Linked DNA regions of Daphnia pulex. The protein of the gene in region 1 purifies or fractionates together with the protein of each later gene. This does not show direct contact. Links are inferred from orthologs where the notes say so. Each region holds a gene or a part of one and is shown on either strand. Other genes may lie near its edges.

What was found.
Region 2: the proteins of syntaxin-8-like (region 1) and vesicle-associated membrane protein 2-like purify together in Homo sapiens (co-immunoprecipitation; 3 studies listed by BioGRID and IntAct, counting the BioPlex papers as one, with this or other methods). This does not show direct contact. The link is inferred for Daphnia pulex from reciprocal best matches to the Homo sapiens genes STX8 and VAMP4.
Region 3: the proteins of syntaxin-8-like (region 1) and vesicle-associated membrane protein 7-like purify together in Homo sapiens (affinity purification with western blotting; 3 studies listed by BioGRID and IntAct, with this or other methods). This does not show direct contact. The link is inferred for Daphnia pulex from reciprocal best matches to the Homo sapiens genes STX8 and VAMP7.

Annotation. Positions count from the first base shown.
Region 1 is NC_060022.1:2,056,156-2,059,370, reverse strand, and holds syntaxin-8-like, read left to right. Parts: upstream 1-1,191; 5' UTR 1,192-1,278; coding exon 1,279-1,316; intron 1,317-1,467; coding exon 1,468-1,662; intron 1,663-1,725; coding exon 1,726-1,812; intron 1,813-1,874; coding exon 1,875-2,011; intron 2,012-2,067; coding exon 2,068-2,160; intron 2,161-2,220; coding exon 2,221-2,322; intron 2,323-2,389; coding exon 2,390-2,457; 3' UTR 2,458-2,570; downstream 2,571-3,215. Other genes in the region: bestrophin-4-like, read right to left, coding at 1-102, 167-341, 438-548, 625-721, 974-1,040; serine-rich adhesin for platelets-like, read right to left, coding at 2,965-2,988, 3,052-3,215. UniProt on the Homo sapiens protein: Vesicle trafficking protein that functions in the early secretory pathway, possibly by mediating retrograde transport from cis-Golgi membranes to the ER.
Region 2 is NC_060027.1:3,974,557-3,977,668, forward strand, and holds vesicle-associated membrane protein 2-like, read left to right. Parts: upstream 1-1,204; 5' UTR 1,205-1,333; coding exon 1,334-1,387; intron 1,388-1,507; coding exon 1,508-1,560; intron 1,561-1,619; coding exon 1,620-1,661; intron 1,662-1,721; coding exon 1,722-1,868; intron 1,869-1,930; coding exon 1,931-2,016; intron 2,017-2,081; coding exon 2,082-2,107; 3' UTR 2,108-2,137; exon of another isoform or gene 2,138-2,201; intron 2,202-2,213; 3' UTR 2,214-2,525; downstream 2,526-3,112. UniProt on the Homo sapiens protein: Involved in the pathway that functions to remove an inhibitor (probably synaptotagmin-4) of calcium-triggered exocytosis during the maturation of secretory granules.
Region 3 is NC_060018.1:6,537,451-6,540,951, forward strand, and holds vesicle-associated membrane protein 7-like, read left to right. Parts: upstream 1-1,319; 5' UTR 1,320-1,406; intron 1,407-1,541; 5' UTR 1,542-1,611; intron 1,612-1,680; 5' UTR 1,681-1,687; coding exon 1,688-1,894; intron 1,895-1,959; coding exon 1,960-2,097; intron 2,098-2,159; coding exon 2,160-2,250; intron 2,251-2,337; coding exon 2,338-2,405; intron 2,406-2,475; coding exon 2,476-2,568; intron 2,569-2,717; coding exon 2,718-2,789; 3' UTR 2,790-2,935; downstream 2,936-3,501. Other genes in the region: uncharacterized protein LOC124188813, read left to right, coding at 197-239, 304-396, 462-928; ribosomal RNA-processing protein 8-like, read right to left, coding at 2,936-3,143, 3,207-3,283, 3,345-3,501. UniProt on the Homo sapiens protein: Involved in the targeting and/or fusion of transport vesicles to their target membrane during transport of proteins from the early endosome to the lysosome. Required for heterotypic fusion of late endosomes with lysosomes and homotypic lysosomal fusion.

The DNA.
Region 1 (3,215 bases):
AAGATTTGGATAGATTTTTCGTATAGGATGAGACACCAGACAAAATGAAAATATCAAAGCAAGCAATTGCCATCGTACAAATTGATCGATAATCACAGGCCCCTTTAATAAAATAGCGATTAAAATTATTGCATTATAATGATAAATGACTCTCAGTTGGACTTACTTCAGGTAGATCTGGTTTCAGTGAAAATATGAATACGGTAATTGATTGGTCTGTTTCGGGTGTTTGCATCGAGTATAATCGTTGCATGGCTGTTGATGTAAAGAAGCCAAGCAATACCATAAGGTTAATACTACCGCTATATCGGGAACAATGTTCGGCAAGGACCCTGAAATTCCTACAAACAATTTACAAAAATAGAAAACGATATTCAGTCAGCGCGTGGAACGTTTACCATTATAAGACTGTTGGAATGTATTGACCAATACTTAACATTTTTCCATATTCGTCGAGGATGAATTCGTAGAGAATGCTCAGCCATATGTATACTATTGCGTAGATCACCATGTGCTTCCATAACAATTTGTAAACACTTCGTTTCCATCTATAAAAGTAATTGAAATTACAATTTTGAATGAATAAGATAGCATTGCCAAAAATGCCAATGACGGAAGAGTTACTTCAGAAGAATAGACACATTGCCGATGAATTTCTTGTAGGTTTTAATTGAAGTCGTCGGATTTCCAAACATGGGATTCATCGTCGTAATCGTCCGTGCTAGCTTATAACGTGAACTTGAGGATAACTTAGAGACGTGGGACAAGGCCAAGTGGCTGTAACAAACCACTCTCACTCTTTGCTCATTACGTTCCTACTAAATGTTACACTACGAGCTGTGGGCCAATTTATTAGGAAAAAATGTCGATCCTGATAATACCAGTTAAACCACAATTAGTATCTACTTGGCCTTGTAGTGTAGGTGTAATCTAATCTAGTGGTTAAATTCAAGTGAAACCAATAATAACTTACCAGGCTTGCCGGCTGCCGCAGGAGACTGGAAATCAGAAATTGATAGACCTCGTGTATATCTACTCATAAATCTTTTCACTAAACATCACGAGGAATAAATACACTAAAGCACCGACCGTACGGTACGGGAAAGAATAACACACAATGTCACAATGACACAACAAGAATTCTGATGTGATGTCTGGCCGGCGCCGGCCATTCTCTTTCTCTTTCGTTTTTCCCTGCCCTTTCCCAAGTCTGTATATATATATACAAAGCGACACCATCGCATTTGACAGCTGTCTCGAGCAGACGTCTATGAAAGAATGGCGCTCGTCGATTTGGGAAACGACGCTAATGCCTGGTAAGTAAACAAAACTAATCTTTTAGATAATGTCAATATTTTACCTTGTGGTTCTGGCCCAAGCTCTTACCAAATAATACGAAAGACAAATTTTTGTTGCTGCATCTGTAGATGTTATCACATTAATTCTTAATTGTATCCATCAAACCAGGGAAAAGGAGTTCTCATCTGCTGAAAAATTACATTTTTCATTACTGGGGATTTTTAATGAAAGGGATCACCTACCAAAGAATTCTCAAGCACATGCAAGACTTTCTTTTCAGTTGAGGAATAGCTTGAGTCAACTTTACAGTGAAATCCAAAGTCTTAAAGGACATCTTGAACGGCTCTCACAAAATAAACAATTGTATTGTATTGACTTCCACCTAACATTAATGAAGTTAGCTCATTTCTAAAACTTTTCACTCAGGACTGCAAGAGAGAAAGAACGGCGGGGCCTTCTCCTTGAAGATCTTTTAAGCAAACATAAGCAGCTTCTGAATTCTGTCAATAGCAGGTTTGTAGTTTTTCATACTATGAATAGAAATATTTTCATTTACAGTTTTCTGTTTACTATAGCGTGTTGGATAAGAGCCAATCCCTTAGTAAATTGTCATCAGGAACAACAACCTCTTCAAATCCATCATCATCTGCAATGACTAGTGAACATATCCCTCATCGTGAACTCAAACAAATCCAAGTCCAAATTATGGCAGGTTAGTGGATTTAAATGTGTTATTCATATGTGTCTTAATAAAAATGTATTTTCTAGATCAAGACAGAGGGCTGGATGAGCTTTCGAGAATTATTGGCAGGCAAAGGCAAATTGCCCAGACAATTGGTGATGAAGTTGAATCACAAAATGGTAAATTCTTTTGATTAATTATCATAAAATAATAATAAAAATTGTATTTTCTTGGTTTAGATTTGATTGAAAACATCGCAGACAACGTTGATCGCACTCGGGATCGAATGGCACAGCAAACTTCAACAATAACTGTAGTTGATCGGAAGGATCGTACTTTTGGTAAACACAGATCTTGTTAGATAAGGTGCTTCAGACAGATGCAATAATTTCTTTGTTTTCACTTCAGGATATTGGATGGTAATCCTGTTGTTGTTTGTTGCCATCGTTGTAGTCGCTTCTATTCCGAAACATTAATGAGAAATTCCAAAGCTGCCTAAGTTAATTTGACCGTATCTCGTCCTTAAAACTACATCGATTCTATTAAAGTGATGAAAGAGAAAAATATATAACGCAATTTATTCTCGAAATGGTTGTATGACAAGTGTATTTATTTGCCCATTCTTCGTGGGGTTTACATTTAGGGCATTGAAATTGAATGTGAAAATGAACCAGGCTTCTTTTTATAGACAAATTAATTTATAACTTCCGTTAACAACTTTCGTTCATCTTAAAGGATTTGCGCATTACGGAGTAAACAATGAATAAGCATAACAGGTTTGGAATGCATAACAGTTTTTATTGATATAATTATTATCTCGAAGAAAAAAAAAGAAGGAAAAAACTAACTGTGAAACGAATGTCTCAAAACTGCAACACATTTTTTAAATGATTAACCTGGAATGTGAATAGAAACTTTAACGGCGTTTTTTTATATAGCAAGGAATTTTGACACAGACAGCATTGACTTGTTTACACATGTTCCTACTTCTCCAAGCTAGTTCCAGTCTATAGAATTTAAAAAAATGTATGTTAATCAAATTACATTTAATAAAACAAAAATACTATTACCTTCTTTAGGGAACCTCCGTTGGCAAAGCTTCGGATGGAGTTGAGAAGCTCTTCTCTAGGATCAACTTTGCGGACAAATTTCGAAGACAAGGATCGTCTTCCGGAAATTGACGTAGGATCGGCACCGGAAACAACAGACGGTTGGGCAGTAGGAGAAATAGGCT
Region 2 (3,112 bases), on another chromosome or scaffold:
TTTTTTTTCTTAAGTGTTTAAAATGACAGAAGGTTTTTGTTTCATATGTTCAACTTATGAAAAAAAAAAAAGAGATCGCCGAAGTTTTTTCAAAGTGAAATGAGTTCTTTCTCAATTGAATTACTGTTAATGTTGCATTCTGGCACTTTGAAAAAACTTCGGCGATCTCTTTTTTTTTTCATAAGTTGAACATATGAAACAAAAACCTTTTGTCATTTTAAACACTTAAGAAAAAAAACAGGTTTCACTTTTGCTGCTGACAGCCTGACAGGTTACAGTACATGGCCTTACGGTGACTATCGTTTGGATCAAGCAAAGTCTGCAGCAAGTTTCGGCTATCCACCGCCATGGTGCGCACTAGTCGACTAGCCGCACGACTTTTCCCTCTACTTACACGAACCAAATGGAAAAACCTCTATAGGCTAACTGAACTAATATATGAACAATGGGAGGTCGGGTGTGTGAGTCGGATAAGGCGTGGCTTAGTGATCGCAAGAGCACTTTGACACCTGAGTTCGACTCTACTGGTGAACATAGCTGTTTCACACCGATCGATAAATAACTAAGTAAAATAGCAATTAATGAGGTAATAACTCGTCAATGGAATGGATTATCGTTGGTTTCATTGATTTCATTGAATCTAACGAGGTGCAAGAAAGTTAGCATGGAAGTATTGCATTCAAATCCTAAGACCTACATCTAGGTATTCAAATGGCTTTACAACGTTACACTTGTAAGCCAATCGGTTAATTCTTAATCCATGGTTAACTGAATACAGCGGTTCTTTGAGTCCTAAAAAGCGTAGGCTCAGAACTCTAGATGAAGCTAACATTGATCTGGCGATGCCAGTATTGGTCTACAGAGTGAAAAACCCCATACATGTTTTTTTTTTTTTTAATTATTATTGTTTAATTGTTTAAAGTTAGATTTCTGATCATTATTCAAACTTCAGGTTTCAAAAATACTCTGATTTAGACTTTTGCCATCTATTCGCACATGAATATACTAAAAATCGAATTGTTTTTATAAAAATGGTCTTTTTACGGCAATTAGCGAGTTATTGAAGATCCTATGCTAAATGCTATGTGTTCTTTTTAAAAAATGAAACAGTACTTATTAATCACAAACAGCTATTCTTTTGCTGCTTTTACTTGTAGCCCAGCTGACGAATGTGTACACAGTTGTAGTCGTCGACAATAGATGGCGTTTAGCAGAAGATATTTGATGAAATTAATTGACAGCTTTGTTTTCCTTTAGTTATTGTAAAGTTACTAGTTAGTTTGATCCTATTTTCACATTTTCAAGAAAGTTCATAAATATTTTAATATCTGCTATGTCTGGAAGACCAACTAGACCAAGCAGGAGTGAAGGAGCAGATTTTGAAAGAGTAAAGTCATAAAGTGTTTTTACCAAAAACTCACTTGTCAGCTTTAATATTCTTTACAACTATATGTTGTTACGTGGGAGTAACTTAAATACTAACACTAAGAATCCTTGTCCTTTACAGGAGCAGCTACTAGATAATGTGTCTGATGATAGTGATGAAGATTTCGTGCTCAAGTAAGCTATTTCTAATATTTCAAATTAGTTTGTTTCATTTCAAATTTGAATTTTTCCAGTAAAAAAGATGGAGGACAATTTTCAAACAACAAGCTGAAAGAGTAAGCTTACATCTTGAGAATTCAAATTACATGTTGATCTAATTGTTTTTCTTTTGACAGGGTAAAATCCCAGGTGGAAGAGGTCACTAACGTTATGAAGGAGAATGTGCATAAGCTGTTTGCCAGAGGTGACCAGCTGGATGAGCTGAATGAGAGATCAGAAAATTTAAGAAGTGCTTCCGATGAATTTCACACTGCTTCCTCAAGGTAATCTTTTATTTTTAACAACTAGTCTACAATATTTAACAAAATCTTTACTCACCATGCAGGCTCCGTAAAACAATGTGGTGGAAAGAGATGAGAACTCGTCTCATTCTAGGATCACTCTGCGGTCTAGTTGTGCTAATTATGATAGGTATCATGTGCTGCATTTTTAAACATAGCAACTTTTATCTAAACCATTTTTCCAAATCAATATAGTGTGGCTATCAGTCAAATACCATTGATCAGCAAGAAGATTTTCAAGATATCCCCAAGTATTGAAATATGTTGTAACTGAGCTATTCTAAAACAGCTATAATAATTTGTTTTTGATTATTTTAAAAAAAAAAGCCTGTCGACCGGTATTACTAGGCGTACAAGTTGAGTCCATCAAAATCCGCAAATTCAAATATTGAAAGGTGGGGTTTGCACACTATAGTCAGATGAATGGATGACAATTTGAAATATATATTTGATTACTATAAATCCACTTAACATTGTCTTGTGGAATCGAGTGAGATTGATAATGTCTGTCACAGAAAAATGAAAAAAAAAAGTATCAAACACTTTGATGAACGGCTGATCATTTTCCCATTGTATTTCACCTTTTACACGGTTTATATATCAATTGATGAATACAGAACCGATGGTATTCCACATATATTTATACATCGTGTCACTCTCTCTCATTGGATTCCATCCCCCGCCATATCCAACCCGGTCACAGCTCTTTTATTTTCCCTCGAACTGCTGATCATTCAACGAAACTTAAATTTTTTTTCCCCGATTCGTTCTATATTCTCCTAACTTTTCAACAAAAAAAAAAACACGGAGTGAATCTGATTTTATCATCACGTACGGAAGTTTTTTTTTTTCATATGTATGTACAGGGAACTAAAAAATAAAAACAGGGGGAACGACACAGTTTTTACGTTGAATATAAAAAAGAACTCAAACAAGGAAACAACATCGTATCCAGTGGATGAGCAAAGAACGAGAGAGCAAGAGCGGAGAGGGGAGTGTGTGTGTGTGGTGGAGGAATTCAAGTTAAATAAATAAAAAAACAACCAGGGTAATTTTCGCGACGTAGTTTTATCTCTTTGGGTTGGTTTGTTTTTATTTGGTGGAAGAACAAAACGAACAAGAACATAAGAATGAAGGAAGGCATGAAGCATGCATTGGGGATGCTCAGACCCCTCCACAATTGGAATTGTGTCCCGTGGACCATATATAGTATGTATAGCAGAGTT
Region 3 (3,501 bases), on another chromosome or scaffold:
TCATTTTGACGAAAGTGACTTCAAATCAGGGATTTAAATTTTGAACGTGTTCCATCCTTTCAAACGTAGGAATCGTAATGCTGGAGCAATTCCCAAACATTTTCTGATAAATGGTATTGATATTACATTTCCTGTATAATCTGTAAAGCACAGAAACTGAACCATTTTCATTTTAGATACACCTAGTCGACAAGCAATGCAAAATGTTGATGGTTTCAAATGGAGAAATAACCTTAATGGTATTTTTAAATATGTTTATTTTGTTTAATATCAAATAACGCAATTCTTAAATATGTATTGTAGTGGAAACAAATGCTAGCAATGCATCAGTAAGGAAACGACCAAAAGTAGACAAAATACCTACTACGTCTAAGAGAAAAAAATTTGACAGTACAGGTATTGATAATAGTTCTCGTTACATTTTATTTATAAGAGCAATTGCTTTAAATTTTATCTGATAGCACCCTCCATGGAAATTATTAAAGAATCAATCAACATTCCCCAGGCTGCTGAAGAAGCAATTTTTGATCCACTTCCAGATTCAATCAAGGAAAATCTTGCTGTTGTCATGGAAGATACGACAGTTGCATCACCTTCTATGGAAGCTACCTCTACTATTCAAGAATCAATGGACACTCACCAGGCTGCTGAAGAAGCAATTTTTGATCCACTTCCTGATGTAATGAACGAAAATGTTGCTGTTGTCATTGATGATTCGACAGTTACATCACCTTCTATGGAAGCAAGCTCTACTAATTTCAAGTCTAATTTTGTGACATTTCAGTCACTAGTAACTTCATCAATGGTACCAAAGAATTGGACATGGTATTTTGATCAAATTAAACAAACGATTTTTTGCATTTCGATGGATCGACTACCAAATGAAAATTATAATGTGAAAAGTGTACATTTTCAAAACAAGAAGTAGTGTATTATGTCAACGGAACAATAAACAATTTACACAACCAAACAATAAAATGTAAGAATGTTTGGACACTTACAAAGAATAAACAATTTACACAACCAAACAATAAAATGTAAGAATGTTGGGACACTTAGAAAAGACCTAGAGGTTTGACAGTTGGATACTTCTACCTTTTTATTTTGTTCACTTCTTGTAGAAAAGTAAGCTGTGATTGGTCAATGAGTTTTTCATAGACCCTTCCTGATTGGCTGGCTTCACGTAGTACCTGACACACTCACTAGAGGCGCTCATCAATTTTTCCAAATCGGACCACGTTTACCCTGAAACCGGGATAGGGAAGCCAACACGGCCGAGAACCGACCAGGTATCTATTGCTCTGCTCTAGTGAGTGAGCAAACCATAGACTCTATAACGTGGTTCCGACAATAGTCAACATTGAGTCATTGACTGGAGTGGATTGTCATTTGATAATTTAAGATAGGTTGTTTAATCCTTAATACTTACAAAAATTAATTATATTCGTCCTACAACTATCCAAAACTATAGCAACGTCTTTTGAGTGTCATAATATCTGCTCCTTCATAAGTTCTGTAATCCATCGTGAGTTTCTCTGCAGTTTTTTATACACGTTCGTCAAGTTATTGATGGGATTGAAGATCGTCTGAATCGTCGAGAAAGTTTTGTTGGTATGAGATTAGTTGACCCATAAAAAATATTTAGTCTTTATTACATAATCTCATATGTTAATTTTTTAGAAGGAAAATGCCGCTGTTATATAGTGTTGTTAGTAGAGGAAACACTGTTTTGGCTAGATTTGCCAATAATTGTACTGGAAACTTTTCTGAGATCACAGAGCAAGTTCTAGCTCAAATTGGACTTGATGATTCAAAAATGACCTACTCTCATGGATCATTTTTGTTCCACTATATTTTGCAAGACAGAATAATTTATCTTTGCATCTCAGATGATGTAAATCTTTTTTTTATTGTCTGCAATTGTAGAAGATGATATATAAATAGAAACCTTTATTTTAGGAATTTGAACGTTCAAGAGCATTTTTATTTTTGAATGAAGTTAAAAAGAAATTTGTAAATACTTTTGGAGCCCATGCATACTCTGCTCTACCATATGCTATGAACACGGAGTTTTCGAAAATTTTGGCAGGGCTAATGGTAAGTCGTGAAATTCTTCTCAATTATTTCAGACATTACTGAGATTTTTTTTTTAAAACCAGAAACACTTTTCTGAATCTCGAGATATCGATACCGTTTCTCAAGTTCAAGGAGAATTGGACGACTTGAAAGATGTAATGGTGAAAAATATAGGTAAAGTGTAAATACGAGCCAGCAAGAATTTGCAACCTCCAGCAGTAGTAACATAATACCATTTAATTTAATTTTGCTCATTATTAGATTCCTTAGCGGCACGTGGCGAAAGATTAGAATTACTGGTTAATAAAACCGAAAGCCTCAGCGCGTCAGTATGTATATTTTAGATATTTTTAAATTTTACTTTGGTTTACCAAGTAAGTTATTTTAAATTGTTTTTAGGCTGTTACTTTCCGGAAATCAAGTCGAAATTTGGCTAATTCCTTGTTCTGGAAAAACATAAAAATAACAGCAATTACTGCTGCCGTGATTTTGGTATGTTATAATTGTTTTACAGTTTAAATAACTATCTTTATTTCATTCGTAATTTTTTTTTTTTTACCATTTATCGACCTGAACTACATTCTAAAATTCGGAATAATATTTTAAATGAAATCTAATTGAAAATATCTATTTTTCCGTAGGTTATTGTGTATTTTGTCGTTAGCATAGCATGTGGAGGATTGAATTGGCATTCATGCATTCAAAATAGTTGATGCACAAATTCTGCGCGTGATCTAATTTTTCTTTCAGTTTTTAAAACAAACATTCTATTTCAACCAAATACGTTTCTGTACATTCGTAACATATAATGAGTCGGTTTCTTTGTTATGATGTTCAACATTTATGTGTACTTTTCTATTCATCGTTTTTTGTACAGACAAGGTTTCAAATATATTCTTGGCATAGTTGCTTTGGGACTCATGTTTTGAATCTTGCTAAACTTTGCGAGAAAAAAGTATTTTTGAACGTTATTTTCTTTGAGTTGGAATCCAAAACGTTCAATTGTTTTCAAGAAATCATTAATATTGCTACATCTGCTTTCAACTTCAGCTACACACAAAGTACCACTGTAATTTAAAAATTACATCAATAAAGATTATTATTTTTTAAAATCTGTATGTAGCATTTACCCAATTTTAAGGACTCTATTAGCTTCCTTTAAAAAGTCATGTATGTTGGAACCCATGAGAGATAAGCAGAAGACCACCTGAACAAGCAATATCTGTTGTTTGATCAAAATTTATAATGCATAAATAATGCTGAAATACCACATCAACAGCTTTGGTTGCCAAAGGAACAGAAGCCATGTCACAAGCAGTAACTTTGTCATTTGCTGCTACAAGGTCAAAAGAGTGAACTTTATTAGGAATGGTGTTTGCTATCTGAGCTTCACCACAACCAAAATCAGCTATCACCCAGTTTCTA